Oryzias latipes: one gene and its partners. The protein of the gene in region 4 interacts with the protein of the main gene of each other region in a pairwise test. Links are inferred from orthologs where the notes say so. Each region holds a gene or a part of one and is shown on either strand. Other genes may lie near its edges.

What was found.
Region 1: the proteins of trim37 (region 4) and copb1 interact in binary tests that used the Homo sapiens proteins (3 or more experiments, as listed by UniProt). The two-hybrid records come from large-scale screens. The link is inferred for Oryzias latipes from reciprocal best matches to the Homo sapiens genes TRIM37 and COPB1.
Region 2: the proteins of trim37 (region 4) and pnkp interact in binary tests that used the Homo sapiens proteins (3 or more experiments, as listed by UniProt). The two-hybrid records come from large-scale screens. The link is inferred for Oryzias latipes from reciprocal best matches to the Homo sapiens genes TRIM37 and PNKP.
Region 3: the proteins of trim37 (region 4) and cwf19l2 interact in binary tests that used the Homo sapiens proteins (3 or more experiments, as listed by UniProt). The two-hybrid records come from large-scale screens. The link is inferred for Oryzias latipes from reciprocal best matches to the Homo sapiens genes TRIM37 and CWF19L2.
Region 5: the proteins of trim37 (region 4) and mcm10 interact in a two-hybrid assay, tested with the Homo sapiens proteins (2 studies listed by BioGRID and IntAct). The link is inferred for Oryzias latipes from reciprocal best matches to the Homo sapiens genes TRIM37 and MCM10.
Region 6: the proteins of trim37 (region 4) and protein FAM124B interact in a two-hybrid assay, tested with the Homo sapiens proteins (2 studies listed by BioGRID and IntAct). The link is inferred for Oryzias latipes from reciprocal best matches to the Homo sapiens genes TRIM37 and FAM124B.

The regions. Positions count from the first base shown.
Region 1 is NC_019861.2:19,365,878-19,369,666, reverse strand, and holds part of copb1 (coatomer subunit beta), read right to left. Parts: intron 3,544-3,789; coding exon 3,374-3,543; intron 3,282-3,373; coding exon 3,167-3,281; intron 3,072-3,166; coding exon 2,979-3,071; intron 2,884-2,978; coding exon 2,746-2,883; intron 2,595-2,745; coding exon 2,475-2,594; intron 2,251-2,474; coding exon 2,143-2,250; intron 2,043-2,142; coding exon 1,896-2,042; intron 1,788-1,895; coding exon 1,642-1,787; intron 1,545-1,641; coding exon 1,448-1,544; intron 1-1,447. UniProt on the Homo sapiens protein: The coatomer is a cytosolic protein complex that binds to dilysine motifs and reversibly associates with Golgi non-clathrin-coated vesicles, which further mediate biosynthetic protein transport from the ER, via the Golgi up to the trans Golgi network.
Region 2 is NC_019871.2:32,547,102-32,549,596, forward strand, and holds the end of pnkp (bifunctional polynucleotide phosphatase/kinase), read left to right. Parts: intron 1-105; coding exon 106-202; intron 203-279; coding exon 280-341; intron 342-462; coding exon 463-572; intron 573-908; coding exon 909-996; intron 997-1,078; coding exon 1,079-1,146; intron 1,147-1,379; coding exon 1,380-1,500; 3' UTR 1,501-1,735; downstream 1,736-2,495. Other genes in the region: complement C2, read right to left, coding at 2,138-2,314, 2,399-2,448. UniProt on the Homo sapiens protein: Plays a key role in the repair of DNA damage, functioning as part of both the non-homologous end-joining (NHEJ) and base excision repair (BER) pathways.
Region 3 is NC_019871.2:20,782,667-20,787,021, forward strand, and holds the start of cwf19l2 (CWF19-like protein 2), read left to right. Parts: upstream 1-1,269; 5' UTR 1,270-1,308; coding exon 1,309-1,401; intron 1,402-2,247; coding exon 2,248-2,358; intron 2,359-3,374; coding exon 3,375-3,500; intron 3,501-4,355. Other genes in the region: alkbh8 (alkylated DNA repair protein alkB homolog 8), read left to right, coding at 1-110.
Region 4 is NC_019872.2:24,841,493-24,844,174, reverse strand, and holds part of trim37 (E3 ubiquitin-protein ligase TRIM37), read left to right. Parts: intron 1-54; coding exon 55-250; intron 251-323; coding exon 324-409; intron 410-693; coding exon 694-804; intron 805-2,571; coding exon 2,572-2,618; 3' UTR 2,619-2,682. UniProt on the Homo sapiens protein: E3 ubiquitin-protein ligase required to prevent centriole reduplication. Probably acts by ubiquitinating positive regulators of centriole reduplication.
Region 5 is NC_019881.2:2,768,144-2,771,932, reverse strand, and holds part of mcm10 (protein MCM10 homolog), read left to right. Parts: intron 1-653; coding exon 654-770; intron 771-848; coding exon 849-1,045; intron 1,046-1,284; coding exon 1,285-1,379; intron 1,380-2,279; coding exon 2,280-2,393; intron 2,394-3,789. UniProt on the Homo sapiens protein: Acts as a replication initiation factor that brings together the MCM2-7 helicase and the DNA polymerase alpha/primase complex in order to initiate DNA replication. Additionally, plays a role in preventing DNA damage during replication.
Region 6 is NC_019871.2:22,277,722-22,282,261, forward strand, and holds the start of protein FAM124B, read left to right. Parts: upstream 1-1,476; 5' UTR 1,477-2,136; coding exon 2,137-2,204; intron 2,205-3,717; coding exon 3,718-3,749; intron 3,750-4,540. Other genes in the region: cullin-3, read left to right, coding at 32-177, 309-440.

The DNA of each region.
Region 1 (3,789 bases), on a different chromosome or scaffold from region 4:
GGCGGCCGCGTCGCAAATGAATATACCGGTACAAGTATTAATTACAACGCAGTATTCTTTATTAACAAATATGAGCAACAACTAACTAACGAACTAACTATACAGGCGTTGTAGAATGAGTATGTGTTTCTGTGTCAGGGCGCGTGCGTGTTTAAGAGGACTGAGCGCGTGCCACGTGAGCGCGCGTGAGAGCCTCTGACTCCGATGGGCTTTAGGCAGCGTGGGGGGGGGGGTCTTTTCCTCCACGTCTGTGGCAGTAAACCCAGACCAGTTCCAAACAACAAACTTCCCACTGTCACCGGTAGCCATGCTGTCGCTAGCTGCTTCGTGCGTCGATTGTCGCGTGTCGGCGTGTGACACCAACGCTACGGAAGCTCTGGGGAGCCAAAAATGCGCCACATAAAAACTTGATTTAGTTATTTTTGAAATCGCCCGTAACAAAAAATTCGAATTAATTCATTTGATCGATTTATCGCCCAGGCCTGGGAGAGAGGTTCAGATGACGATGATAACTAGAGAGAAAGAGAGACGATCAGCTGATGATGAAGAGGGGGAAGAACAGAGAGGTGCAGAAGAGAAGGCTGGGGCATTCCTTCATCAGAAGGTCCTTCTGAGTGGCCTTCACCTCACATTTAAACAATTAAAGTGTTGTAGGGGTGTTTAGGTAGCTTTAGGAGGGGTGGATGTGCATTTATGTCTGTGTGTGTGATGGTGGGGGGGCGTTTAAAATGTGACCGCGTACCGCCTACATATAAAATTGGGTAGTTGCGCCCCTGTCGCCAGCCTATTAAAGAATCCATGGAGCTGGAGCTAGCGAACGCCGCCGCTAGACCGTAGGTGCTGTCGTAGCAGGCTCGATCGCTGACGACCTGTCCAGGATGTATCCTGCCTTCATCCAACAGTAACCAGGACTGCCTTCGGAAACCCCGCGGCCCCAGCGGGTAAAACGGATGGAAGTTCATTAATCAGCCGTGTTGGATTTATTTTTCTCCCCTTTGATCGAGTCACTGTAAATGTCAAGTGCCCAAAGCTAAGTCCCTGATTGGTTCTTATCCTGCCGCAGGACCTTAGATCGTGTCTGTACATTGACTTATCATTGAAACTCGACGCCCTTGACCGTGAATCACATCCGGTGTGAATGCAGCCAAAGGGAGTGGTCCCCAACCTTTTTTCCATCACAGACCAGTTTAATGTCAGATATTTTCACCTGTTCCAGGCTGAAGTGGGCGTCCAATTTATTATTATTATTATTTTATTTTGACTTTTGAAAGGAATGTTATTAAATGTAGTTTAATAGATGAAAGCCTGAAGACAGACAGAGTATTGGAAATGTGGGAATCAGACTATAAGAGGTGGAGGCTTCCCAGACTGTGCAGACATCTCTACATTTGGATGGTGACTTCTGACTCCAGCAGCAGTGAAAGTGAACATCAGTGCGCTCACATACCTCTCCTAAAGACCTGCGTACTTCTGTCATCACACTCTGAATGTCTTCTTTGGTGCTGCAGTATTCCCCTAATATCCAAAGTGCTCCTCTGTAAATCCTGCAAATGCACCATTGTGACACAAATGTCGTCAAAGCCAGCACTATTGCAAACCCCTCTCCACATTATGTAATGGCTTTGTAGTCGAAAGCCTTACTTGACCGTTTTGATGGCGTGAAACACTTCCAGCATCTTTTCGATGATCAGAGGTCTCAAGTTGTCGAACCTCTGAATCGCCTCTCGCACGAATTCCAGCACGTCAGCAGCCGCCGCCTCGTTAGTGTCGCTCAGGAACTCCATCAGCTGGAACACAAACAGGTTCACCAAAACGCTCCGAACATTTAGGAGGCTGAGGAACCAACGGCATTTCAGAATGTCTGTCCTGTTTGTAGAGTTGGAGGAATAAATTACCACAGGTATGACGTTGGCCGCCATATCGGGGAAGCGCACACTGCACGAGTGGAGAGTGCGCACCAGGAGCTGCCTGTACTTGTCAGTGTCTTCGTGCTCTGAGACATTGTTTGTCTTGATCACTTCTTTTTTCAAAACGATCACCAACTGAAAGGAGAAGCAGAAACATTTTGCAACAAGTTATAATTCTTCTCCAATTTGTAAATAAAACCTACACAAACACTGATGTGCTAAATATGCTGCAGACCTCCTCCACGTTACGAGAAGAGACGAGGTCCAGCGCCAGCTGCAAGGTCTTCTTTCTGACTTCCAGGTCAGGAGTGCTGAGGACACGGAGGATGTCCATTACAAGGTCCTAAAAAAAATATGGAGGCAACTAAGAGAAGTCTCAGCAGATTGAACAATTGACAAACTGAAAACTGGGTCTCGACCAGACAAACAATATGTTTCACTATATGTTAATGAATTTTCTGGTAAAAAGAGAGACCATTTGATAACTTAAACTCACCACATTTGAATGTGAATTTCTTTTTTTAGTGTTTAGGAACTTTACTTTTATTTCTAAAAATGTCGACCCACCTGGAGAACCCGTTCATGAGTGGGATGATCCTTCAGTTCAATCAGACGATCAAGAACAATCAGCTTCACGTTGTTGTCACTCTCTTTAATGATCAAGTCAATATAACATTGGGCAGCAGCCTGGAGCAACAGAGAAGGCCACATATTTAGAAACTGATCAAATACAGTATGCTATCAGCTCTAAGCAGTATATGTGTTGCATGGAAACTGAGAGTTATACTAATATGAGAATATATTCACTAAATTGATGATAAAAGTCATGACAATGTACCTTGATAGCTGTAGGAGCACTGGAGAGGGTAACAAGAGTGCCTGCAGCTTCGTACTTCACAGCTGGACTTGAGGACTGCAAGAGGTTGAAGATGCAGCGGATGAACCGCGCTCGCTCAGAAGGGTTAGCGTGGCAAACCTAACAGGGAAACAAAAAGGGCTTCTATTTGAAATCTGATCCGATTGTAGGTTTTCGTGCTTTTAAACTGTGTAGTGCTCAAGCGCCTGGCTCGCCTTATAAATCAGCTCCACGATGACCAGCTGCAGGATGTCCCCAAAAGTGTGCACTTGGTCAATGCATGTGCTGAGGTAATCCAGAGCTCGATCCTGTTGAAGGTGATGAAAAAACAATTAGTTTGGCCTTGAATCTGAATATTTTAGTGCTACAAATAGGAACAGGTAGATTCCAAAACACTACTCACTTGATCTGCATGAATCAGCATCATGAAAGCGTTTCTCTTACAGCTGGCGTCTTTCTCATTGACGAGGAAATCGTGGATCAGCTCTGGAGCGTCCGGAATCAGATTCTCAAAGTTCCTGAACAGATCAAATTGCTTAACAATCTTCAGACTAATAGTATGCATACTCTGTGGGATGCATGTGAAAATGCATTCATGAGCATCTGGCACCTGTAGATGGTGTAAATAGCCAGGACGGCGTTGCGGCGCACATAGCTGTGGCGGTGCTCCAAGCAGGCGCGGATGGCAGGCATGAGAGGTTCCAGCAACTCCGACTCCTTCAGTTTGCACAGGAAACGCAGAGTGGAACCACGGATGAACTCGTTGGGATGTTGAAGATCCTGAGTTATTACAAAAAAAAGTTTGAAAACAACTGCTTCAATATTTAAAGGGGTCCACACCTTCACACCTTTAGCTTTAAATGAGTGCATTTCATGGAAGAAAACACTGCAAAGGCAAGTTTCACAAACATGTGGACTAAAAATCAGGATGGAAAACATTATCAAAGAGTACATTAATATAATTTTAAACTGCTTATCCAAAAACTGGACACAATTTGGGTTTGCCATAAGAAAAATAGTGGAAAA
Region 2 (2,495 bases), on a different chromosome or scaffold from region 4:
TCCACACGTACAATAGTTAGTGTTCATCTTGTTTGATGCAGGGTCAGCTTTTAGGGAAGTTCCTCCTGTTTGTGTTTACTAATAGCTGTTGTCTGCTCCTCATAGAGGAAGCTGGACTCCGCTGCCAGGCTGTATGACCCGCCGTCCGCCTCCCTCATCTCCAGTCTCACAGAAGTCATCGTTGCCGTCGGTTATCCCGCATGTGAGGCCCGCTCTCCGTCAGCCCTCACCCATGTCCCCTCCCAACAGCCTTTTGTTCTCACTCCCTCTTGTTTACAGCCGGTAAATCGACCTTCTTCCACGCCCACGTTATTCCAAAGGGTTACTTCTATGTCAACAGGGTAAGTGGAGTACAAAGAAAGGTTTTCACGTCTGAGAGTTTCTCCTGCAAGTATTTTAGGTCGCTCAGACATCACTGGCTGCTGCATCTCAACCATCGTCATCCTCTCATTGGTGTCTCAGGACACCCTTGGCTCCTGGCAGAAATGCGTGGCGGTGTGTGAGCGCGCTCTTAGCGAGGGACGCAGCGTTGCTGTCGACAACACCAACCCAGACCCGGAGTCGCGCAAACGGTGAAGCTCTAATCAGTTTCAGTTTGCCTGTTTGCTCCCAGCTCACCTTTCATATGAACCGGTTCCAAAACAATGACACACACACGCATGCAGAAATAATTACACAGGCAGGGTGGAGTAGTCTCCAGCTGGTTTACTTTAAGCTTTGATTTAAGCCGCTTAGTTCGTGGTTTGTGCTTCTTTCTATTGATTTAGGCTGATAGATTCTTTCTTAGTAAAATGGACTGTCTTATAGAGTGTTACTACTACTAACTACTACTTTAGCTACTTTAACATTAAGGAATCCTAATCATTTTTTAAACGGGTGAATTGACCTTAGGTCTGCATGTTGTGCAGGTATGTGGACGTAGCCAAAGCAGCTGGAGTGTCGTGTCGCTGTTTCCACTTCTCTGCTTCTCTGGAGCAAGCCAAGCACAACAACAGAGTACGACACCCCCCTCCCCACGCCTGACTTGGTTTCAGCTCTGTGACGAGCGCTTTTCACACGGATTTTCTGTCCTTTCCAGTTCCGGGAGATGGCTCCGTCTGACGGCAAACACGCCAAGGTCAATGAAATGGTTTTCCACAGTTACAAGTGAGTGAAGGCCTCTGAAATGTTAGTCAACACCCAAAAAGCCTCACTGGTGCAGAACAACTGGATGGAGACTATAGTTTGAAAAAGAAAACTAGAATTTGTCACATTTTAAAATGTCACTGTATTTTCTGCTCTTATATTGGATCAAAGAGATTCATAGGTTTTTTGTTCTTGCTGCATTTCTGCTTCATCCCAGCATTCTGACGATCTGTCTCCTCTTCTGCTCCAAACAGGAAACACTTCGTGGCTCCTGCTCTTTCCGAAGGATTCTCTGAGATTCTCCAGATCCATTTCGTTCCAAATTTCAAGGACAGACAGTCGGAGGTTCTGTTCCGACAGTTTTCTGAGGGCTGACTCCCCAAATAAAGGTCTATGTCTAAATGTTAAGTAAGCGACGGTAAATTCCAGCTAATGGCCTTTATATTGCAATGAACCTTTGTGCCGTTACTGCATGTTAACTGAACGACTATAGTTAAACTCATGACTGTACAACACAGTTGGATTGTAAACCTGCTGCCCTGACTGTTGGATTTGCTTCTTGTTTTCATCTCAGCGCTAAAATACTAATCATTAAAGCTTCCTAAGCCTGTTTCTGTGGTTTGCTGCCCTTTTTCCAGAGCTGAACGTTTACATTGGCCCCCCATCACCATCTGTCAGTAAAAGCTAAGAGGAAAATATTTGCCTTGGCCCCAGAAACAAAGCGGTTAGATGAGGTTTGAGGGCTTTGGTCAGGATTTATTCTAGCATGGCATCACTCTGCCTGCTTAAAGCTTTACCAACACTCTTTCTCTATTGATTCTATCGAAAAAGCCATTCAGTTTAGAGAGTAAAATACATTTTTATTCGTTTTTAGTTTGCTAATTAAAATGGACAAATCAGCTTTGGACCAGTAAGACGATGTTTAAATCTCTTACAGAGGAGTTTCTGCTTGGATGTTGCAGAAGCTCCGGTGTCTGTTCCATCCTGAAGCAGATTTATCTTCCCAGGCTCATCAAGGGTCAAACTCAGGCAGGAACTTGATCTCCTTGCCTGTATGTTCTTTCAACCACGGCATTATCTTGAAGAGATCGATGTGAAAGTCTCGGGCGTCTGGAGGGGGCCGGTTGCTGCCGTGGGCCCGGTTGTTACGGTCACAGATGTCCGTGGTGCCCCAGCTCACCAATCCCACCTGAAAAAAAGCAGGAAGCTGTCGTTTTATTCAGGCTGTTCACATCAAGATTCGGTTTTTATGAATGGAAAGAAACATGCAGACCTGGAAGTAACGCTTTCTCTTCTGCAGAAACAGGGATCCACCAGAGTCACCTGAAAAGAGACAGTTACTGTTTCATTCTGCGTCACAACAGCAGTTC
Region 3 (4,355 bases), on a different chromosome or scaffold from region 4:
TTTTCCAGCAGGGGGAGCTGGAGCATCTGTGTGCTCAGGTGTCTGGAGTCAAAGTGAAGAGCAGTTACCATGACCAGGGCAACTGGTGTGTTGTGTTGCAGAAGGAATGAATGCAGAAAGATATGTCTGTGCGAATAAAAACTTGGCAGAACAAAAAACAGAACAGTGAGACAAAATGAAAAGATGTTCTTGTTGAGATTTTAAGAGAAATTAATAAATGTAGATTTTTGAGAAACTGTCTTTTACAGGGCTTTGATATTTGTGACTCTTTTGTTCGTTTTTGCTTGTTGGTATTTCATATTTTAAAAATCATTTTATTTTTCTTTTATCTTTAAAAATTCAAGTCAAGTCAAGTTTATTTATAATGCGCTTTAAAAAAAAACCCAGCAGAGGCTGACTAAAACACTTAACAATGAAAGATTAAAAAAAAACAACAATCTAAAATAAACAACATAATAAAAAAGTAAGAAACATCAATAAAATCACCAACTCATACTGAGCTAAAAGACAGAGGGAAAAAGGGAGTTTTCAACTTGGATTTAAAATCATTCAATAAATGAAAAAGAAACACATCTAAGTGATTTTTGGTCTCCTTTTAAGTTCAGTTTGTGCTTTGAAATTATCAGGGACTTTAAATTGAGAGCAGCCAGCACAGATTTTTTGTTTTATTTCCAACATTAAGGCAAATCAATCAAACTTTATTTTTTCAAAGCAAGTTTGTTTCGCACATTTTATGTACAAAGGTAGTTCAAAGTGCCTTACATAAAACATTAAAGGAAACATTTACTGGAGATATTAATGGGGTGATTATTAAAATAAAAATTAAAGAAAGTTAAAAAGAACGGAAATTAAAATAAGCTTAGAGTAACGGTGCTGATGTAAACTTTTGAAGTTAAATTAATTAAATGCTGTTGAGAACAGGTGGGCCTTTAACATGGGTTTAAAAAAACTGAGTGTTTTAGCAGATCTAAGGCTTTCCTGAAGTCTGTTCCAGAAGATCTGTGGAGCATAGAAGCTGAATGCAGCTTCTCCGTTTTGGTTTGGACTCCAGGAACTGACAACGGTGACAACAGATGATGGGAGAGGTCTGCATTGGACACTGAAGCCGCTAATTTGCACATGTAATGCTTGAAAACTATAGAACAAAATAATGATAGTGGGCCTTATATTTATCATAATCATCTTATTTAGCTCTTTGGAAAATTAGGCATTAAGGGTTAGGGTTAATGGAACTACAAGAACCACAAAACAACTGTCGTAAACAGCGATGTTTTACGACAGTTGGCTAGACCCGTGTACGACGTAGTTATGGCGGCGTACGGAGTCAGTTTTGAGAGTTCCAGCAACATCGAAGAAGCGAAAGAAAAGAAACGACAGGCGCGACAAGAGGCGATACAAAAGGTACGAACTAGGACTCTTTAGAACGCAGATGTGAAGTATTTCCGCGCCGCCGTTTGTTTTTGTTTACATTGATTGACCTGCTAACCGACATGCTAAGGATGGTACCATCAACGATCAAGTCAACCGGGACTATGTGACGTTTTGAGAAGGTTTGCTGTCGTGATGAAGTTTTAAGCAAGCGCTTGTCGGGACATTTTTCAGATTATTCCTGTTTGGACCATTGCTGCATGCTCCCTGAACGCTTGCAGGGAAATATGACACAAACACTGAAAGTGGTGAAAGTCAGTGACCGATATAGCACAGCAGACGGCGGCAGCCTGTCTTTTTCGTGTTTACATTTTGTCCAGATTGTAGTTATTCACTGTCCACAGATAGAAAACAAGAACATCTTAATAGCTGTATTCAAACATGAACATAGCTATTTACGCAGCACTTACAGCTGTTCCCTTTAAATGCACATAAATGTGTTGTAGACTCTTATCTGTTCTGCGCAAGCGCCAGGAAACTGACAACAACCGAGTGGAGCCCAGAACTGAGGAAAACTCAATCTATACATTTATCTTCAACCGATATACAGCAAAACATATTTAGCCAAATCTCTTTACTTTCTGTGCTGTTTTTATAATCTGAATATAATATATAATCGTAATCAATTTTCCAGCTCACATTTATACTTATAATCCCAAAATAGTATGTGAAGTCTAGATTTTGTTCAAATCTTTGTTTAGTGTTACCATTTATTTCTAGACACTTCAGCATAATTTAACATAATGTGTGAGTACATTTCTGTAAAACCACAAATACTGGTATGCTGTAGATATTATAATAAATGTTATTTTTTTTAAGGCTAAGCAACAATATGAGAAGGAGGAGAGGAGAAAGGAGCTGAAGAGGCAGAGAGGAGAGGACACCTGGATACTTCCTGAAGTCAACCAGAGACTGGAGCAGTTAGGAGACGTAAGTTGTATCTGTTTCACTTCAGAAAGACATTTAATAAGCAGCACAATGACAGAAATACATCATTTAAAGACCCACTCCAATGAGTATAGTATTTATGTTGTTTTTAACATGTTTTTGTTGCATTTTTCTCATGTTGAATAAAATATATCAAGAAAATTGAGATTAAAAATGCATTTCTGAGTATTTCTGTATTCATATTGTTGTGAATCAGGAGCAGACAGTCTGAGCTGAAATCTGTCTTAAAACTGGACGACTGCTCGCCAGTTTTGTTGCACCGGTAATGTTAGATTGGGGTTGTGAGGGGCTGTGAGCTAGCTGGAGGGAGTGTAAACAAAGGGTTCATGGGTAATGAGCGCACTTCAACAGTCCAACCCACAACTCCGAGGTGAATTTCTAATGAACTCCTGCCACCCTGCAGAAACTGTCCTAGAAAACAACACAGATTTTATAAATTTTTGCCTAAAAGAGCATAATTATTATTAAAATACCACTGGGAATGCTTTGAAAATGGATCAAAAGATGACTGCAGTTGGACGTGAATCATGTTTAATCATTTTCTAGAGCTATAGGTTGTTAAAGAAACATGCCAATGGTGGCACATTTCTTAAGAAAGTATTTATGCCTTATTTTTATATTTACCTAATCTAATTTTCATCTTTTTTTCCTTACATGCTGCTTTGAGTTTGCCATTGTCGGAGAAATAAAGTTTTATTTATCATTTTAGAATTTAAAACCACCTGCTTCACAGCAAACCAGTTTTCATCTTTTTTAAACCATGAAAACTTATTTGTTTTTTTATGTCAACATATTGGGTAGTTGTTTTTTTTTTTCCTGTACTCAAGCTAAACGTTTGCTGGTAAATCTTCATGTTTGCAGAAGTGGCTTCAAAATTTGCTTATGCAGAATTTTGGCAGCTTCACTCTTTTCCTGCTAATTGTATTTATTTCAATTCAAATATATTTTTTAAACAAACTGAGGTTCCATTTAAAGAACTAAATTCAAACATTTACCAGGATGGATCTTTGAAGAGCAAAAAGAAGAAAAAGGAGAAGAAATCCAAGAAGAAAAAAGAGAAGAAGAAGGACAAGAAAGAGAAAAGGAAAACGGAAGCAGGAGATGCTTCAAGTGTGGATTCAGAGGTAGACCGTCTTCCATGCATTACTCTGAGATACAAACACACAAATGATCTGTCAACAAGTTTTTCTGAGTGGTTTCTTAACAAAGATGTTTTAATAATTTCTATAACTGAAAAAATATTTTTGGGTTGAGTTCAGGTGAAGAATTTAGTTACGATTTAACACTAGAACGCCCAGGATTCTTCACTCCCCCTGCAGCGTCCAGAGCACAGCCAAATGGCTGGGTGACTCGAAATGACTCAAGGCCCGTACACACCGGGACGAATATTCGCCAGGCGTTATTCGCCAGCGTTTTTCGCCACGTTTTTTGTGTTCACACCCAGGCGATTTTCGCTGACGGTGAGCCGAGCGAACATGCAATTTCATTCCCTGACATTAGATGGCGCTTAATGTAAACAGAAATACTCCTGTACACAAGGTGGCGCTGCGCACCTTTACGCTTCTTAAAGTCGCTTTTCACTCAGAAGAAGTGAGCAAGTATTTACGCGCTTGTCAGAATCATACAAAGAAAACATGAATATTTCAAGCATCAGTAGCTCCAACTGGTACTTGGTTCGGGGATATTTAAGAATGTCCGTCATTATTTCTTCACAGCAGTGTAGACGCTACTTGGCGTCTATCTTCTTCGCTGGTATGTGTGCTCAGCAAGGCAGTTTTGTGTTTGAGCGCCCCCAAGTTGTGTTTTACTGTAACTTCAGAAGCTCCAGACACGTGTGCAAAAGCGGCATTCTCATTGGTCGAATAGATTTCGACACGACGCGTCGAAAAAAAAAACGAACCCGAGGCGTTTTTTTTTTTTGACGCTTTGGCGCGTGGCGTTTTTTCGCGTCGGTGTGCACACTCTCATTGGTGCCCTTT
Region 4 (2,682 bases):
ATCACTGAGTTCTACTGCTGCATGTGACATTTATTTTGGTTGTCTCTGTTCCAGGAGCGGTGAAGGCTGACGTTCTTACAGGGACCCTGGTGTCCCTCGGCAGCTCCACATCAGAGCAGATTTCCTCCTCCAAGCAGCAGTATTGTGTGGAGCAGCAGCTGTACGGGGCCTCAGGATCCAGAGACGATATCTTCACCCTTGGGGGGCCAGGCTACCTAACCACCAGCAAGAGCTGCAGCGGCAAAACCGGGTGCGGCTGAGGTCCGTGGTGTATCTGTCTTCCGTGGGCTTTTCTTACCGCTCTGCATGTCTTCTTCCTGCAGAGCTGCTATGTTGGACTGTGAGGCTGGAGGCTCAGGAAACTCCCATCAGTCCTTGCTGGAGGGAACCAATGCACCGCCTAGTGAAGGTTGATGTCTTCTTGTAAATCCGGGCCCCAGCTTTATTCTCAGCATCTCTACTATAAAGTTTTTCTGACATAAAAATGTCTGAACTCTGAGCCTTGAAAAGCATTAAAAAACTAATTTGAGATATGAATTCTTCAAAGTTTTTCTTGCAGCATGACAGAAGTTTCCTAAAGTCTGCTTCATTTTCATGTGCAAGATGCTCAGAAATTTTACTGCCGGGTGAACAAAGAAGTGAAATATTAGATCTAATTGTAATGTTTTTGTCTTTTTCTCCCCATAACTAAAGATCAGTCATCGTCCATCCTGGTGGCGGCAACCAGCAGTGACAGTGACTCTGAGGATGAAGCTCTGCAGAGCTGCACCTCTCGCTATGACAACCACACTCCTCCCTGCACAGGTACATACACTGCCCCAGGTTTCAGTTATTTATTTATTAGAGACGAGCCACACAAACCATAAAAATCGATACATTTTTAAAAGTAGTTGATCAGCCTCGTAGGCCTCTTAGTTACCAATCAGTGATAGAATTGGTTTTGATCACTGCGCTAGCTTCTTTAAAAAACAAAATTTTGCTTTAAAAACAAGCGGTAAGAGGTGAACTTTCTCTCTGAACCGATGCTTTATGTATGACCAGCATATACCGGTATATCACCTTTCTTTGCCGCTGCAGCCGAGATTGGAGGTCGGTGCGGCTTGTTGTCACTGTAGCGTGACAATGCGCCGCACCAGATAACAAATAGTCTACTTTGTGTGAAAAAAGCGATCCAAACCAAAAAATACCAAGAAGAAAGTACTGAAAACTGATTGAATATTTATTTCTTTTGTAAGTGACCATGGTATAAGTGGGTAATGGTCTTCGAAGTTTGCATTATCAGACATTAATCCACTTTGTGCGTTAATTTCTGATAATGCACACTTTGTCGGCCATTAACCTTTAATTAATAGGATGAATAATAACTATGGGTGTGTATCTTTCCCTCTAACGAGATTCAATATGCATCTCCATACATGGCCCACAAATCGAAACATGGAAGGTGATAGATACAGTCTTTTATATTAAGTTTTTTTACTGGCACTTAAAATATGTTTCACAAAATCGCTTCAAACATAAAAAAATCTGTCATTTTGGGTCTTTTAGACTGTTTTGTTCTTCGTGGTTCGGTAAAAGTGTGTCACTTGTATTGTTTGAAGTGAAAAAAGGGTTATAGTATGTTTAGTGCACACAGCACACATCCCTCATTGTAGTTTACCTTCAGTCAATAGTATTTGACTCGCCATGGCAGAAGCTAGCTTCTTCTTGTTTGCCTCACATGTACATAAAAGGCAGCGACAGTAGAAACACAACCAGAAGAGAAACTGACAAAGTTTACCAGAAATTGATCATTTACTTCCTGATTGGTTTTTATATTAATTTTTTCCAACATTCGTATTTGTGGTTTTAAGCTGATACTGCTGTTGCTTCCATAGCTAGATTAATTTTTTGACATGTATCTATTCTCTTTACATTTTTATTATTTCTATATCATCTCTATTATGCCAGAAGGAGAAAAACTCATTGAGATTAAAAAATATATATTTTTCAAGTGAGGTCTGGGCAATAATGCAGCAGAATAGGAACAAAATACAACCACAAAACTAAAATAAACTCCATGAAGTACATCTAAAGAATTGAAATGAATTTCAAAAACAAGAGCATCCTTAAATGGATGTTTGAAGTGGAAAAATGTTTCCATGATTTGCTGTTTCTATTGTCTTCACACATTTAGCTTCTACTTTGGGGATATCACATGTATTAAAGTAAAAATAATACTTTGTTTAGCTAGAACTTAGTAGGAAGCTGGTTCTGATGAACCCCAGCGTGGAATGATCTACTGAATCTGAGTACTAGATAAGACATTTTATAATTCAACACTTGTAAAAATGCTTATTATTTCCCAGAATTCCATGAGAAGCAAAAATGGCTTCTGCAATACAATCCAACCTTTAGTAAGGCTGAGTTTCTTCATATGCAGCATCGAATCCTTCTTTTTTATTCATCTTAGTGACATAAAATGACCCAAAATGTCAAGAGTTGACCGAAAACTGTGTCAAGCAGTAGAAGCGTTTGCATTTCTGTCCTTGTGGATAAAAAAGGCGCGCATCGTCTGTTTCTGCTCTGATCCAGGAGAACAGCTTCTGTCCGAAGACACGAGTCTGCCCGGCGACAGGTGATTCCCTCCCACCGCTGCTTTATCCTGCGAGGACAAGCGGCAGCGCGACGCCACGACGGCCGGAA
Region 5 (3,789 bases), on a different chromosome or scaffold from region 4:
TTTGTCACAAAGGCCGAACCAGAGGCATGGTTTTTTTAATGATTTTTTTTCTAAATGATGGATTGTTTATTTCTGATCTCCTAAAGTGCAGCTGTTTCCCTGCATTACCTGCTGTCTGTATGTCAAATACTGACACCAACTAAACCACAGGCAGACAAAGAATACATTGATGGAAAATAAAGATACGTCATCAAAATGTCTACAATTCTTAATAAAGAATGACATTACTAGCATGAGCTGAGGAATCTAAAGGAACCATGATCCAGGCTGTGCTCCGTGCGCCAGAGACGCCCATTCACAGTTTCAGGCTGATACAAACTCTGTCATTCAACACATCATAGGAAACCAATAGTGGGCTACAGTTTTTTTTCCTAGCACTGAGCCCCACCGGCCCCCGATAAATTTGCCCCCCGGCATCACATGCCCCACTATTTGAGAAGCACTGGTTTAGCTAAAGGTTGAGGGGTTTAAGTCTTTAAAGAAATCAAATGTTTCCCCCTTTGTTTTTAATAACCTAGTACCTTAAGTGCAATCGGGAATCTTGAGACGATCCCAGAAAGCTTCAAATAATGTCTGCTGAAGAATCAGCAGAATGTCAGCATTCGGGTTCATTTTGCTTATTCAGAAATGGATTTTTAAAATTATTTTTTTAGGTGAGTCTGACGGTGGATCACCCACAGAAGGTGCTCGTTTTGGGCGAAGCTCAGGACTACGGCACCTGCAAAGCCTCGAAGAAGAACGGAGATCCCTGTTCTCAAATCGTCAACTTGGTGAGTCCTAAGTGAAACCGCGTTTCTTCACCTCCTCCTCCTCCTTCACCTCCCTTCACGATCCGCTCCTCTCTGCAGTACGAATGCCAGTACTGCCAGTACCATGTCAAGGCCCAGTATAAGAAGATGAGCTCAAAGAGGGCGGAGCTGCAGTCATCGTTCTCTGGAAAAGGCCCAAACACCCTGAAGGGGAAGGGGGGCGGCCTCAGACAGCGCCTGTGTCAAGATGGCTTCTACTACGGCGGCGTGTCGTCTTCTGCCTGCGCCGCCACGCTGTGAGTGCAGCTTTGTCCTGGAGGAGTGATCAGAGAGATCTGTCAGGACGCTTCAAGGCTGTTCATTGGTTAAACCTTTGTTGGTTCAGATTTGTGCTTTAGAATTAGCTTTTATGTTACAAACAGTGAAGTACTGTCCTGAAACACAACAAAGTTTATTGTAAACATTTGGCTCAGCAGCACATGAATCATGACACGTCTGTTTTCTGAAAGGCCGTCCTCATTTTCATCTTTTCCAGAACTGCTTCCAAACCGAGCAAACCCCAGCAGAAGACTCTGGAGCAGCTGTTTGTGAGTGGCTCAGCTCAGCTCGTTAGGCGCGCCAAGCAGATAGGTAGGAGCTGCTTGGTCTGTTTGTGGTTTACCACAGACTCAAGGAGGGAGTGACTTAGTTTGTTTTATTTAGTAACTCTGTGGTTGATGTCATCAGATGTGAAGATGCTCTTAACCTTTCTTAGCCTCTACCTCTGTGTCTGCCATGGATGCAGTTAGAAATTGGGTTTTGAGCAGCTTCCTAACCTAACCAGATATCTAACCTAACCAGCTTCCTAACCTAACCAGGTTCCTACCTTAATCAGATTTCTACCTAATCAGCTTCCTAACCTAACCAGAATCCCAACCTAACCAGATATCTAACCTAACCAGATATCTAACCTAACCAGGTTCCTAACCTAACCAGGTTCCTACCTTAATCAGATTTCTACCTAATCAGCTTCCTAACCTAACCAGAATCCCAACCTAACCAGATATCTAACCTAACCAGATTCCTAACCTAACCAGATTCCTAACCTAACCATATTCCCACAGCAGCAAGCAGAATATGTTTGATTTTAAATTGAACTAGATTTGGTTAAAAAGATGATTTGGCAAATTATCACACTAAGACCAATTTAGTTTGGTTTTAAAACCCGTTTAAAAAAAAAAATTAAGTAAACAAAAGAGGAACCTTTAACCACAAACATACACATTCACCAGCTAATAGAAAAGCCTTTTTAGTCTTAAAAATAAAGGAAATAGCATTAAAGCTGAATCCATTCATGTTTTTGTTGAAACAGTGTTGTATTTTAGGTGTAGAGGGATCGATTTTGTTGCTTATTTCTAAACCTCCTCCTATAGAACACACTAACCAGGTAACCAGCAGAGGGCGGGGACATCTACAGAACCTTGAGGACTGCAGGTTGACGGGTCAGGTGGAGGAGGTCGCTGACCCTCATTGTTTATTTGTGTCTTCCAGCAATGCAGTCTGGAGAAATGTCCGGCTGCTCCAATGAATTCAAGAGCCTGATGTCGGTGCCGACTCCTGGAGCTCTGCAGCTGAAGCAGCACCTGACGCAGAGCAGCCAATCAGGTGATCCTCCTGAGCCACACCTTATTCACACGTTTATGCAGGTTATTATTCATATACTTACTTTTATTCAGAGTTTTTAGTGAAACTCTGGTTGGACGGTTAACCCGTTAACTCCGTAGTTTTAGCTCCGGTGTTTCGACTACCGGAACTTTTCTGCTGTTTACACAGAATTCCTGCAGAAAAAAAGCAGCGCGTCGTTGATGTGCAACACTTTACAATGTAAACCAGCTGATTATTAAGCAACACTTTGTGTGTTTAAAGCCGCTCTTCGCCGTGTCAGAATCAGCTGATTCGTGTTGATCCCGTGAGCAGTGGAGTGGTTGGGGTAGGTCAAAGGGCGTGTTAGTCAGATGTGTTAAAGCTGTTTTGAGCTGCTTGATCAATAACCATCTCTGTTTATGAAACGCCTGTTCAGCTTCTTGAAATTTCTCAAAAGGCAAATTAGTCCATCCATCCATTTTTCAAACTCGCCACATCCCTTTTGGGCTCACTGGGTTGCTGGAGCCTATCCCAGCCACTATCAGTCGGTTGCATGACTGCACAACAACAAGCCCACCTAGGGACAATTTACAGATACTAATTAACCTATGAAACATGTTTCTGGACTATGGAGGAAGCCAGAGTATCTGGTTTCCGTGCACAAAGAGAACAGGCCCACTCCATGCAGAAAAGGCCCACCCAGGATTTGAACCAGAACCTTCTCACTTAGAGGCAAGAGAGCCAACCTCTACACCACCGTGCAACCCTTTAAAAAAACCCTTAATGATCTTATTTGTGTTAATATTTGGTAATGTGTTTTAGAATAGAATAAAACTTTATTATTTCACCCTTAGTTATTTCTTCATGTTGTACTGTTGTACTTCTTTTTAGCACCATGAGTGAGGGAAGGGGAGAGGATGATGACACCTGTGCGATGTTCAATGTCATTCATGTCAAAAGAAAAACGCAGAGTCCGTCTTATCACGCGGCTGTGCCTCTGTTGTAGCGTTGCTACAGTGTTTGTCCGCCATATATAATATTGCGGTTCATGAGAACTTAGCCAGACATCAAAGCGGTCCGTGGGCCATTAAGGTTGGGGGTCGCAATTGTAGCGGACAGGGTTGGACGAGGTGGCTGTTTGGTCGCGTTCTAAGTTCCGGAGTTCATTGAACGCATCAAGCAGAGACGCTGATTGGCCCTCAGTTCTGTCGCTCAGCCTGTCGTTGGGGAGTTTGGACCAATGGGGTTCAGCTATGAGCTGAATAAGGGAAATAGGAGGGCGGGAGCGGTGGAATAAAAAGTGGGGGGGGGCGCTGTCGGCGGAGGGACTTAGGAGTTGCTGAACGAGGTTGTATGGCGTTGGTTACGGCCGTAGTAACCAGAATAAAGAACCTTAAAAGAGGTTAAGCCTCGGTGT
Region 6 (4,540 bases), on a different chromosome or scaffold from region 4:
ATATGCATACACGTCTTCTTCCGTCCTCTAGTGGTTGCTAAACAGGGAGAGTCGGACCCGGAAAGGAAGGAGACCCGGCAGAAAGTGGACGATGACAGAAAGCATGAGATTGAAGCCGCCATTGTTCGCATCATGAAGTCCAGAAAGAAGATGCAGCACAATGTGCTTGTAGCAGAGGTCAGTTGGTTCACACATTTGCTCTGAGGTGTTACTTTCTGTTGTTGTTTTCTGCTCTTTGGTGACAGTCCTTCTTAAAGACTGGCTTTTACGCGTCATGTCCCTCATTGGTGCTTGTTCTGTCTTCTCAGGTCACACAGCAGCTGCGAGCGCGGTTTCTTCCTAGTCCTGTTGTCATCAAGAAGCGCATTGAAGGACTCATTGAGAGGGAATACTTGGCGAGAACACCAGAGGACCGCAAAGTGTACACTTACGTAGCATAACGAGTGATGAAAGCAGAGCCCGCTCTGTGGTCTGGACTGCTTCTTGTTTAAGTCGAGTCGGACTTGCTTTCGTCGTTGATTCTGGGAAACACTGGGAAGCTTCAAAAACGTCCTCCACACAAACCTGTGAAGAATAATTCTGCAAAAGATGGTGACATTTTCTAGAGTTATTAGACTTCTTCTGAGTAAAGTGAGAGGAGTGGGATGTAGTTTTGTATAAAAAAAAAAAAAAAAAAAAGATTTTTGTGGCCTTTGGAGGAAACTGGCTGAGTCTTTGGGCAGTCACTGGACTCGTGACGCCATGGAGATCTGAAAAACATCGGGACTCCCCCTCTGTTTTAAATGTGGACGTTCATGTGTTATGTTTGTATTTTGTGACACAATAATAGTTGTACAGATCGGCGCGTCTCAGCCTTTTCCTCAAAGAGGATTTTTAGACTTCAAGAGAAAGATGAGGTGTTCCCTGATACAGACCTGGTTTACAGCAGCAGCCAAACAATGTTTGTTTAACGGAACATTTAAAAGCTTCACGTCAGCTGCAAGTTTATGTCTTTAGGGGGCGACACTCGTCCTTCAGCACAGCACAGACTAAAACAGAAAAAAGTCTGACCAGGTCTGTACCAGCAGCCAAAAAAACCAACAGCTTCACAGCATGCCTTCATGAATAAATGGGTCAATCACAGATACAAGACACAACTCCATAGATGTTTGGTCTTCAATGATGCAGCATAATCAGACAAATTGATCCTTCAATATTCTGTTCCTAGCACTGCAGGTTTCATAGATTTCCCTTTTCCACTGCATTCTGAACAGGTGGAGGCAGCAGAGTGCCACGCTTTAATATGTACAAATTGTAAAATAATTGTACGCGTTGCGAAGGTGGATTGTACAGGGCCTTGATTTCATCATATTAAATGTAGAAAGAAAAATATATTATTCCTGGTTTTCTATCCTTTTCAAGAGAAGCTCAACCAAAAAAAACTTTTTTTTCAAAAAATCTCCCATGTTTATATTTAGAGTACCATAACTTTATTTAACACCTTTTAAAATATTGTTTACACTCTATAGTGACTGCCCGCATATAAAAAATTGTAAAAAAATAAAAATTTTAATGCGTTTAGTCAAAGAATGAAGCCCTGTTTCAACTAAAGATATAAGGAAAAAGTTGTTAAACCAAAATAAATGATTTTGGGATTTTAATTTGAAATGTTTCACCCTTTACAAATACAAATGGATATTTAAGCATGCATTATTATGGAATACATCAGTTTGGAAGGAGAAGTTCAGGATCTGTAGTGGAAAAACACCAACAGATCAGCTGTCATATCTGAAACCCTCGTTCATTTAGTTTTTACAGATCCAGCAGAGACTAATGCGCTTATCCAGGTCTTAATAATGTGTTTCTGTTGGGGGTTAGACACCTCCTCCCTTCGCCTCCGTCTGCTCCTCCTTTGTCCTCACGTTAGACTGCTACCATCTGCTCTGTTGTTGTTGAAAGCCTTAACACTTGTGCTGCCTCCTTTCACTCCGCACGAGCGTTTGTTCTGCGGACGCTCGGCTTCGTCTTTTTCAAAGACGGCGGCGTGACGTCAGCGTCCAAGGCTGTGGAAACCAACCCGGACAGGATGCTCCGCGGTGTGAACCCCGCAACCTCCGCCCGCAGCGCGGCCCTGCACGCGAAGCTCTCCACCGGGTCATGAGAGGAGCCGCAGTGTTCGGTAGATGCGACAATGAAAAACCGGACTCCGGAGCAGAAACTGCCGAGTGAGTCCGCCGTGGTTTCCGCTTTAGCGTCAGGCTAACGCTAGCTGAGTAGCTCTCAACTTTTGTTTTCAAAACACAATGGGGTCGATTTTCTATTGAAAATCCGTCACGTTTAACTCCAGCAGCAGCATCTAAGTACTAAACCTGTTGGTAAAATGTCCCTATTGAGGTTCTTTTCATTCTGTATTCTCGTAAATTAACTTTTTTTTCTCCACCTCATGGGAGCTAACATATAAAGGGTTGTCATGGTGACCACAGCAATACGGCAGGTTTCTAAGACAACCACCGCAAGATGGAGACAAATGTTAGTGGAAAATCCAGCGTTTCTCTAAGGAGAATTGGTTCTGAACGGGAAAACAAAAAAAAATCAATTCAGTTCAATTCAATTATACTTTTTAATCTCACAAGGGAAAGTAAAGAAAATAATCACAAGATCAGGAGGAAAAAGTCGACATTTTACGAGAATTAAGTAAAATTATGAGAAAGCAAAAATATTACGATCAAATTCGTAAAATGTTGTTTTGCCTTCTGCCAAGAGTTTTTTGTTTGTTTGTTTGTTTTTTTACGCCGGATGCCCTTCCTGACACAACCATGTAATCTTACAAGGTTACAATTATGGTTCAAAAAACTCAAACTATTAGAAAAAAGTAATAAAATTATGAAAAAGTCAACATTTTATGAAAATGAAGTAAAAAAAACATGATTAAAAGAACAATTATATGAAAAAGTCAAAATGTACAAGAATAAATTCATACAACTATAGAAAAAAGAAAACATTTTTTTCATATTGTAAGTAAAAGTCAAAATTTTATGATTTTTATATCTTAGTCTCATAAGATGTTGACTTTTCTTAACAACTTATTTTATTTCTCATATTTATTTATCTATTTTTCTTTTATGGCGGCCCCAACATAATATTTTCTGGGTTTGTGGTTCTAAAAATGCCTTTTTTTTACCCAGGGATTAAATTTCCATTATAAAAGACTGATACATAAAAAACTAGATTTTTAACACATTTTACACACATAGGTCAAAAATAATTTGCTGCATTTACTAATTTGTGTATTTAGTGAAAATTTTCTATTTATTAATCCTTTCGGCTTTCCCGTCATATGTCATGTGTCCTTCGTTTTTTTGTCTTTGTTTTTCATTTTTGTCTCTAAAGAGGTCTACCCTTCTGTCTCTAAAATAGGATTTAATGCAAAAATTCAAATTATTATGTATAAATTGCACACTGTTTATAGTGTTCTCTCCCTTTAAAAACTGTCACTTTTGTTACTTTATTCTGCCAACCCTTTTTACAATATATGACTAATTGTGATGTTTTACTGCAGTTTTAAACCCCCAAAGGCTCCAGTGTTTCTAAAAAACAGTTTGAATTGTCTCTAGGGACAAACAGTTAGGGGTTTCTGGACTAAAAGATACATTTCAAGACTGGAAACAGGAAGAAAAGCTAGAAAACCTGCATTTCAGGTGAAGGAATAATTTGATGCCGTTTTTGTGTCTCTTTCAGATCTGATTCCAGCAGGATGTCCCTGTCTGTCTGTAAGTACTCCACTGTCTGGACTCGGCTTTTAGAAGATTGAATGGTGAACAGGAGGCAGAAGCTACGGTGTCATAGTTCCTCAACAAGTCAAAAAACAACAAAACCCTTCGTCATCCAGATGCCTAATAGTTGAATGATCTCCAAAGTTCTCTGATGTCTGCAGTAGCATCACCTCAGACTCTCCTGCTTGATGACTTAAACTCTCTACTAACACTTAAACAGATGTTACAGATGAACAACGGTGACCAACGTAAAAACAAATTACCGGTATTAAACATGCATTAAATCAAATCAGGTCAGACTGTTGAAGCTGCAAGAAAACCTAGGAAGCTTCAAAATGCTACTTGGTTTTCTATCTTTTACCCCTTTAAAACCATTCTTCTCATATTTGATTCACACCTTACTGAGACACCTGTCTCATTACAACGGTCCACATTTTCCGCAAAAACCCACCCTGCATAACTTGATGCATGTTTTTTGCCCTCTAGTGGATTATCACTCCACAGAGTGATGAGGCAGTGAGAAACACTTGTCTGCTGAAGCGTTTCCAACATCAACTGAAAGGTTAAGCTGCAGTGACCCTACTGCTGTGAGGAGAAACGCCACTGATCATTTTCCAGGATGGAAAACCCGACAGAGATGCAGCTCTGCACTGATGGGCACTTTTCTCATGTCTACTGTGAGCAGTGGAAAGAGCATCTTTGCTTGGAAAAGGACAGAAACTTATTTTGCATTTACCAAAAAGTACACAGTCACTTTTTGCACCATTAACAAACATTGTGGCCAAACC